Oryctolagus cuniculus: one gene and its partner. The protein of the gene in region 2 interacts with the protein of the main gene of each other region in a biochemical or structural test. Links are inferred from orthologs where the notes say so. Each region holds a gene or a part of one and is shown on either strand. Other genes may lie near its edges.

Evidence for each region.
Region 1: the proteins of GNAI3 (region 2) and RGS19 form a complex in vitro, tested with the Homo sapiens proteins (3 studies listed by BioGRID). The link is inferred for Oryctolagus cuniculus from reciprocal best matches to the Homo sapiens genes GNAI3 and RGS19.

Annotation. Positions count from the first base shown.
Region 1 is NC_091442.1:134,220-138,647, forward strand, and holds the start of RGS19 (regulator of G-protein signaling 19), read left to right. Parts: upstream 1-1,619; 5' UTR 1,620-1,761; intron 1,762-1,780; exon of another isoform or gene 1,781-2,294; intron 2,295-3,747; 5' UTR 3,748-3,815; coding exon 3,816-3,845; intron 3,846-3,989; coding exon 3,990-4,111; intron 4,112-4,428. Other genes in the region: protein LKAAEAR1, read left to right, coding at 19-823. UniProt on the Homo sapiens protein: Inhibits signal transduction by increasing the GTPase activity of G protein alpha subunits thereby driving them into their inactive GDP-bound form. Binds to G-alpha subfamily 1 members, with the order G(i)a3 > G(i)a1 > G(o)a >> G(z)a/G(i)a2.
Region 2 is NC_091438.1:60,821,934-60,825,736, reverse strand, and holds part of GNAI3 (guanine nucleotide-binding protein G(i) subunit alpha-3), read left to right. Parts: intron 1-2,960; coding exon 2,961-3,090; intron 3,091-3,617; coding exon 3,618-3,771; intron 3,772-3,803. UniProt on the Homo sapiens protein: Heterotrimeric guanine nucleotide-binding proteins (G proteins) function as transducers downstream of G protein-coupled receptors (GPCRs) in numerous signaling cascades.

The DNA of each region.
Region 1 (4,428 bases), on a different chromosome or scaffold from region 2:
CCCTGCCTTCCTCCCCAGAGCCGGCTCTCGGCCCCGCCCCTCCTTCCCGCGGAGGGGCAGGCGGGGACAGCTGCAGGAGCCCCCAGACCCTTCTCCCTGCCAAGGGCTCCCACTTGCTCTGCCTGGAGCAGAGCACGGATCTGGAAGTAGAGGCCAACTGGGAGCTGGGACGCAGCAAGGAATCCTGCCCGGCGGTGGCCAGGGCCCCTCCCCTGCCCGTGTGGGGACCTGGGCCCTCTGTGCCCTGCACCGGACCCTTCATCCCTTCCCGGCTGCTTGCTGCCCTCGGCCTTCATTCGAGCCTGGACAGTGTGCGGAGCTCCCAGAGGAGGGGAGAGGGCGGGGGGGGGGGGGCAGCTGCTCAGCCCCTGGCAGTCGGTGGCTCCAGAAGGTCCTGGCTCCTTGGCCAAGCTCCCTGCAGTCTGGACCAGAATTCCTTCAGGTTACGGAGTGCCTGGGACACGTTCGTCTATTTAATAAAATCACTTGTTATCCCATCACTTCTCGGAGCTTCCATTGCTTCCTGTTTAAAGTGAGGGTCTCAGTGCAGAGCCCCACGCCACCCCACAGTGCTCTGGGGAGAGGTCATGGGCGCAGGCAGGCACGGAGCCCAACCCCGGGGGAAGGCTGGCAAGACAGTGGCCGAGGCGGCTGCCCGGAGGGGCCAGGTGGGCACACGAGCACCCTTAAGTCCCCACTAGGGAGGGGGCCAGAGAAGGTGACCAAGGAAGCCTCTGGAGGGGGCTCCCACCTGCACAGTGCTGTGGCCCTGTGCGGGGTGGGGGTTCAGGCCCAATTCCACCATCCCCAGCCCCTCCCATGAGGCCAGGGGAAGGTCTGTGCTGACCAGCAGTGGCCTGGGGAGATGGATGCAGGTGCGGGGGGAGGGGAGCAGAGGACAAGAGGGAGGGAGTGTGCCAGCCCCCCACCGGGCCACACACCTGCATTTCCCTGCCATGGAGATACACCCCAAGTGCTGCAGGACAGTGTGGCTGTGGCCAGGGCCTCCCTGTCCTCCCCTGTCCCTCTCAGGACAACTACGTGGGCTACAGAAGAGGCAGCCACCCCTGTCCAAACAGGGCCTCCTGGCCTCTGCCTGCCCAGCCAGCCCCACAGAGCCGCCAGGGCCCCTGAACACAGCCCAGGTGTCCCCACCTGTGCCCCGGGAGAGGACGCTGGCCTCCGGAGCAGAGCAGGCAGTGCTGAGGGAGACAGGGGCAGCCGGAGCGGCCCAGTGGGCAGCAGACCTGCAGACCACGGCCAGGGCGGATGCGGCTCATGCTGACAATCAGCCAAAGCACCTGTGCCAGTCAAAGGGACTGGGCTAAGGGGACACTCGGGGCCACCGCAGGGGTCAACGGGGACTCAGCCAGGCCCCATGGGCCCTTCGGCGCGCCTCGGGGTGCGAGAACCGGCGCCCCTGCTGCCCAGCAGCGCCACGGCCCAGGGACGAGCTCCGGACCCCCACCCATGCGAGCAGTCCGGGCCGCATGCGGGACCGCAGCCAGTGGCCCACAGGGGCTGCGAAGCCATGGCCCCGCACACCACAGCGCCATCTCCCGGGGCCACCGCGGCCAAGCGCGGGGGGCGCCGGGCCGGGCGAGCGCGGGGCGGGGCGGACGGCGCGAGGAAGTCCCGGCCCGCGCTTTGGGGAAGTCCGTCGCGCGCCTGCGCACTGCGCCCGCGCCCCCTCCCCGACGCCGGGGCCGGACCTCGGAGCGCGCGGGCGGCGGCGGCGCTGGCGGCTCGGGAGCGCGGCCGGTGAGTGCGCGCGCGGCGCCGGGGACGGCGGCCCTGGCCTCGCGGCCGGCCCGGCGGTGCGCGGCGTGGCCGCCACGGCCTGCGCCGGGACCTGCCCCTCGGGGGCCGCGGTCGCGGGTCCACGTGGACCCCGGGCCGCGGCGGCACTGCAGCCCGCCCCGCGCCTGGGGGAGGGGCGCTGCGGCGGGTTCCCTTTTTGTGAGCTCGGAGCCCGGGGAGAGGTTGCTTAAAGGCGGGGGCCGGAAGGACCCAGGTTTCCGCGGCTCCCGCCCCGCTAGCTTGGCGGGGAGCGGCCGGGGCGGGACTCCCTGTGCGCCCCCGCCCCCACCCCGTCGGGTCGGCCGGCAGCCGCTCCGCGCTGCGAGGCGGACCGGAGGCCCTCGCGGGCCGGGGCTCGGGACGCCGCGGGAGGACCTCCCGCTGCCCGGCCTGGGCGCTGCGGCTGCTGCCGTGCCGTGCACGCCCCTTCGACAGCCAGGGAGGGGCCAGGGCGAACCGGCCCCTCCCGCCCCCACCCCGCCTTTGGGTTGCTGGTGAGTGGGGCCCAGGACGGGCTTCTTGAGATGGGGGTGGGGGCTGCGGAGTCTGCGGGGAGGGGTCCGCACGCCTCCTGCCTGGCCCCGGGGCGGGGACAGGGGAGGGAGGGATTCCAGGGTTGGGGGAGCCTGGCCAGACCGGGGCGCCGCCCCCCAGCCCCTGGCTAGGGCAGCGGGTCGGAGAGGTCCTGGGCGGGAGCAAAAGTTGGAAGGAGTCCCTGCCAGCCCCCTCCCAAAGATTGTGACATTTTTCTGAGATTGTCACATTTTCTTGTTCTTTTTTTGGACTGGGCGGGCTCAGGGCCGTTCTTCTTCCTTGTGTGGAGCAGAGCTGCCGCCGCTCCCGAGGGAGCCCTGTCCCCAGGGGCCGGAGTGGCTCCTGCTCTCCCCTTCCAGGCCCCGGGGGTGGGGAGGAGGGAGCGTGGGTCCAGACCCTACTGCCTGAGAGAGGGGCAGGGCTGGAGGAGGGCCCAGCACCCCCGACAGCCCCAGGCTGGGGTTCCTGCCTGGGGCAAGGGCCCTGGCTGCCGTGCCCCTTCTTTGGAAACGTGACTCCCACAGGGCACTTGGTTCCCCCCAACACACTTGGCTTTGGGACCCTCCTGGGAGAGGAAGCCCAGCAGGTGTCGAGAGGCCTTGGCCCAGGGACTGGAGTCGGTGGCCCGTGGGCCTTGTCCTTTCCTGGGTGCTGAGAGCCAAGGCCAGTGGGGTTGAGGATGCAGAGGCCAGGCTTGGGAGTGAGAAAATTAGAAAATAAAATAGAACCAAGTCCCAAGCCTCCTGGCCACAGACCCTCGGGAGAGGCCTGAGGGCCCTCACCTGGACACAGCTGCGCAGTGAGGGGATGCGCCGGGTTTGTGGCTGGCTTTGGCACCTAGTGCCCCTCCCCACAGAGGTGCATCCCAGAAGTGGAAAGGCACACCCCCACAGGGTCTCCAGGCCGACTGGGGGCGGGGTGGTCTCCCTGGCTGGCCCTGAGGCTGGCGGCCGGCAGTGGCTTCTGAGCCTGCAGGTGCTGGGCCCAGAGGGTGGGGACCTCAGTGTGCCAGTGGGGTGTGAGGGTCAGGGCAGCTGCGGGCCAGAGACGCCCGACCCGGGGCCCAGATCCCTCCTCCAGCTTCCTGTCCTGCCTCAGGCTTCGGGCCTTGCCACAGAGAGGGAAGGAGCAGCTCATGTCACCACCTCCAACGACGCACAGTCCCCTCGGGAGGGGCCCAGAGCCGGAAACCAAGAAAGAGGAACCCAGGCTTCCGGCTCCCAGGCGCTGAGCCGACGGGGGTGTCCCAGAACCTCCTCTGGGGGCCTCCTCTGGGGGCCAGCCTGGGAGGAGGGGCCGGAGGCTGGGGCAGAGGGCAGAGCAGGGAAGGAGGTGTGCTGCAGGCCACTCCCGCAGGACAGCTAGGGTCTGGGGTCACAGGTTCTCGGTCAGAACCTTGGCCCCTCTTCCCAGACCCCCCGGCTGTGGTGAGGGCCTTGGAGCTGGCATCTCGGAGCCTGGGCCGCCTGCTTTACCCACCCATGCCCACCGCGCATGAGGCTGACAAGCAGGTATGCTGCTCCCTGTCTGTCCCGGCCCCCTGGGGAGGGGGTAATGAGGGGTCAAGGTATCCCTGAATACCTGGGGTGGGCAGAAGGCACAAGTCCAGGTTTGGGGGGTTCCACCTTGAGGCTGAGGAAGCCCTGTGTCCCCAGCACGCAGGGCCAGAGGAGGCAGACCGGCCGCCTTCGATGTCCAGCCGTGATGCGGCCCCCACGGCGGCCCCCAGCCGCAACCCCTGCTGCCTGTGCTGGTGCTGCTGCTGCAGCTGCTCCTGGTACGCGCGCCTGGGACCAGGCTGGGCCCGGGCGGGAAGGGAGGTGCAGAGGTCTGGCCACCTGACGTGGCCCTGGCGTCCGTATTCAGGGCCTGGTCCCAGACTTGCCGCAGCGCCAGGGCTGGTCCCTGTGCAGGGCCAGGCCTGCTGCGTGCGCCTTCACCCCTCCCTGGGTGCCTGGTCATCCTGGGGACCTTCAGTGGAGCGAGACGGGCACAGCCCTAGAGTGGGTGGAACAGAGAGACCCCAAGGAGGGAGCAGCTGGCCCTGGGCACGGGGAAGACCTGCCCAGGCAGCAGGGTCAGTGTGTGCATGAG
Region 2 (3,803 bases):
CTGGATGGAAAGTAGAGCATTCAGGACTCGAACCAGTGACCATATGGAATGCCAGTGTCGTAGGAAGTGGCTTAACTCACTGTGCCACAGCGCCAGCCCCTGGTTTTCATCTCTTAAGTTTAATAGAATGGCATTAGTATTGTCAGGGCTGTTGAACTGATTTATGCATAAAGTTGTGTACAACTAAGTTCTGAATACAGGACACAATTGAAAACTGACTTGAGGGTAGATGTTTTTTGTGGTAATGGGATGGCAGATAAACATTGTTTTAGAGTCTAGTACTCTGTTACAAAGAATTATCTCATTAGTGTCTCTTATACAGCTCTGTTTCTCTCTGTTAATGCTCTTTTATAAATATTAGAGCTGTCTTTTTGGTTCCTGTTTTCTGCTTTTGTGACCTTTGAGATTGAGTGATTTTTTTTCCCCCTTCATTCATTATCTGATGTATTTTTTTTTTTTTTTTTTGGACAGGCAGAGTTAGTGAGAGAGAGAGAGAAAGAGACAGAGAGAAAGGTCTTCCTTCCGTTGGTTCACCCCCAAATGGTTGCTATGGCCGGCGCACTGCGCCGATCCGAAGCCAGGAGCCAGGTGCTTCTTCCTGGTCTCCCATGAGGGTGCAGGGCCCAAGCACTTGGGCCATCCTCCACTGCCTTCCCGGGCCACAGCAGAGAACTGGACTGGAAGAGGAGCAACCGGGACAGAACCAGTGCCCCGACCAGGACTAGAATGCTGGGTGCCAGCGCCGCACGCAAAGGATTAGCCTAGTGAGCCGTGGCGCCGGCCTATCTGATATGATTTTAATTGCCTTATGTTTATATGTAGAATGTGATAATCAGCATTATTGCTTGCAAATGTCACTGCTACCTTAGATTTTCAGTTTTCTTTTCTCTGAAAGCAGTTGTTCCACAGGATTTGTCAAGTCCACACAGCATATGTATTACTAGACAACAGTTGAAATCTTAATACACCAAATCAGATTTGAAAAATTGTATAGAAAATAGCATTTCAGCTGAATGTTTTTAGAATCGAATAGCTGCTTATCTTTAGTCCTGATGAATTTACTTAATAAGAACAGCAAAATCATGTGGATTGTTGTCTGTAAAACTGTAAGAATGTACTATCTCTTTGTGTAATATAATGTAGTAATTCATTTATAATTAAATGTTATAACTAGTATTTATTTAGTCTGAGAAAGGTTCTTGTTCATGTTGTCAAAGACTGATCTTTAGGTAATCCTATCTTTTGATATCAGGACCAGTAGCCAGATCTAAATAAAGTGCCACACCCACTTTATTGTTGGCATGTAGATATCTTGTTATGAGGTACTATCACTTCTTCCTTTTCCTCTTCTCTCTAGGCAAAACCACTATCCATTTATTCAAACATTTATTGAGCATCTACCATATGCAAGGCATTGTCTAATTGCTTACTTGCCTCTCAATTATGAGGTAATGTTTATAAAATGTTGATCTATTAGTGAATGATACTGTAAAATGTTAATATGTGCTAAAAGCCCATTTGGGAACTTCACAGTATTCTTACCAGGTTTATGGACTTCATAGAAGAAAATGGGGAAGTAGATTGAAATTAATGGTGTAGTGGTATATTCCCTTTTGAAAGCCTGACATGGTGAAATATTTGGCTTTTAGCCTTTCTAAAGTATACGTGACCCTGCATTAAAGCCCGTTGTAATTGTATCGTTCCCTGAGTCATGACTAATGGTTGAAAAGAGCTGTGCAGGGTTGGTCAAAGGGAGGGTTGGGTCATGAAAGAGATAAGATGAACGTTCCCTTTCCAACATACGTTGGGAAATCACCAACTATGTCTTATTTCTTTCAGTGTCTGTGGGGGAAAGAAAATCTCTGAAAACTTGATCTTAGCCAAAGGCTGAGAAGCGATAGATCTGATATATGAAACTAATTTGGCAGATTTAGTCTTTAGAAGTTTTAAGGTTGTCATCAAACATAGATGTGAAGAATAACTAATCATCTGCATGCAGACCTCATCAGACCCAAGTATCAGCTAAATGACAAAGTGAGGCAGTTGTTCCCTTACTGTGGGAAGTAGATGAGAACACTGTTGACTCACTGTATCAGTAAACCTCCCAGAAAAGAGGAGTGGACTAAGACTAATGTAGAGTGGAACATAAAGTGTGTGAATAATTGAGGCTTTATTATTATTAATTAGGTTCAGGTAAGACTTGGAGTTGGGGAATAATAACTAAGTTTATTTTAGATATTGATTTATTGGATTCCAGCTGTAAATTTTTTTTTCACTAGTGATCTCTAAAATGTTTTTCTTTAAGTAAGGAAAACTTGAAAACATATGGAAAAGTAATGGAAAAAGAATGCAAATTAGGAAATTAGAAGGAAACTGCTCTTAGAGGCAGTGTTGTAGATAAAAGCAGAGGCAAGAGTTGGAGTGCCTAGGTTCAGATCTTCAGTCCCCATTTGTTAGTACACTGCATGCCCTTGGGCAGATTATTTGACATTCTCTGTGCCTCTGCTTCTTCATCTGTAAGATAAAATGCTACAAGGGTAAAATGATGTTCTTAAGGTGTTTAGGGTAGTGTCTGGCACCATGGTAAACACTCAATAAATATTAGTTACTATTATTGCTATCTTATGCTGTTATTCAACTCTTCATTTTTCATGTCTTTTTTTCTTCATTTTCCTTTAAATCATTTTAGTGCTTTATTCTGCTGACTTTTGGCACATACGATACAAGCTTTGAGAGGAGGCTCAACTGTTTAAAATGAGAATTTAGATTATTCCTAAATTTTATTTTCTCAAGTTCTTTTACTTTAGACACAGATAATTATTTTGACTACATTTTATTTGCTCCTTGTTTGTTTTTTCTATTATAAATGAGGTTTTGAATCTGTAAGAATGTGAATTTTCCTAATCATGTCAACTTACATGTGACCTTGCTTAATTTGTGCTTTCTTTCCCTTCACTCAGAATGTTTGATGTAGGTGGCCAAAGATCAGAACGAAAAAAGTGGATTCACTGTTTTGAGGGAGTGACCGCAATTATCTTCTGTGTGGCCCTCAGTGATTATGACCTTGTTCTGGCTGAGGATGAAGAGATGGTATGTTGGGGCTTATGGTGAAAAGCCTAATGAAGCCAGGAAATGGGAAGTAACTTAGGAAGACTAGGTACATTCATTTGCTTGTTGAAACAAAGATTAATACATACTTAATATTTCTGCTTATCAGGGAGATTAGATTTTCAAAATTAATTGATCCATACCTTGTTACTCTTGAAGAGACATTCATGGCTATGATGAGTTTATGGGAATATTAAATCCTTTTTGGGGGGCAATTTTGTGGTGCACTAGGTTAAGCCCTGCCACAGAAATCCCTTGCGAGTGCTGGTTTGAGTCCAGTCTGCTCCACTTCTGATCCAGCTCCATGCTAATGCAGCTGGGAAAGCAGCAGAAGATGACCCAATTTCTTGGGCCCCTGTTACTCACGTGGGAGACCCAGATGAATCTCCTGGCTTTCACCAGGCCCGGGACCAGCTGTTGGGCAATTTGGGGAATGAACCTGTGGATGGATGCAAGTTACTCCACTTTTACTTTCACTACTAATCTGTAATCCTTTGACTCTTTTTCAGAACCGAATGCATGAAAGCATGAAACTGTTTGACAGCATTTGTAACAACAAATGGTTTACAGACACTTCAATCATTCTCTTCCTTAACAAGAAAGATCTTTTTGAGGAAAAAATAAAGAGGAGTCCTTTAACTATCTGTTACCCAGAATACACAGGTAAGGGTCATAGAAGATTGTCCCGGAGGTTC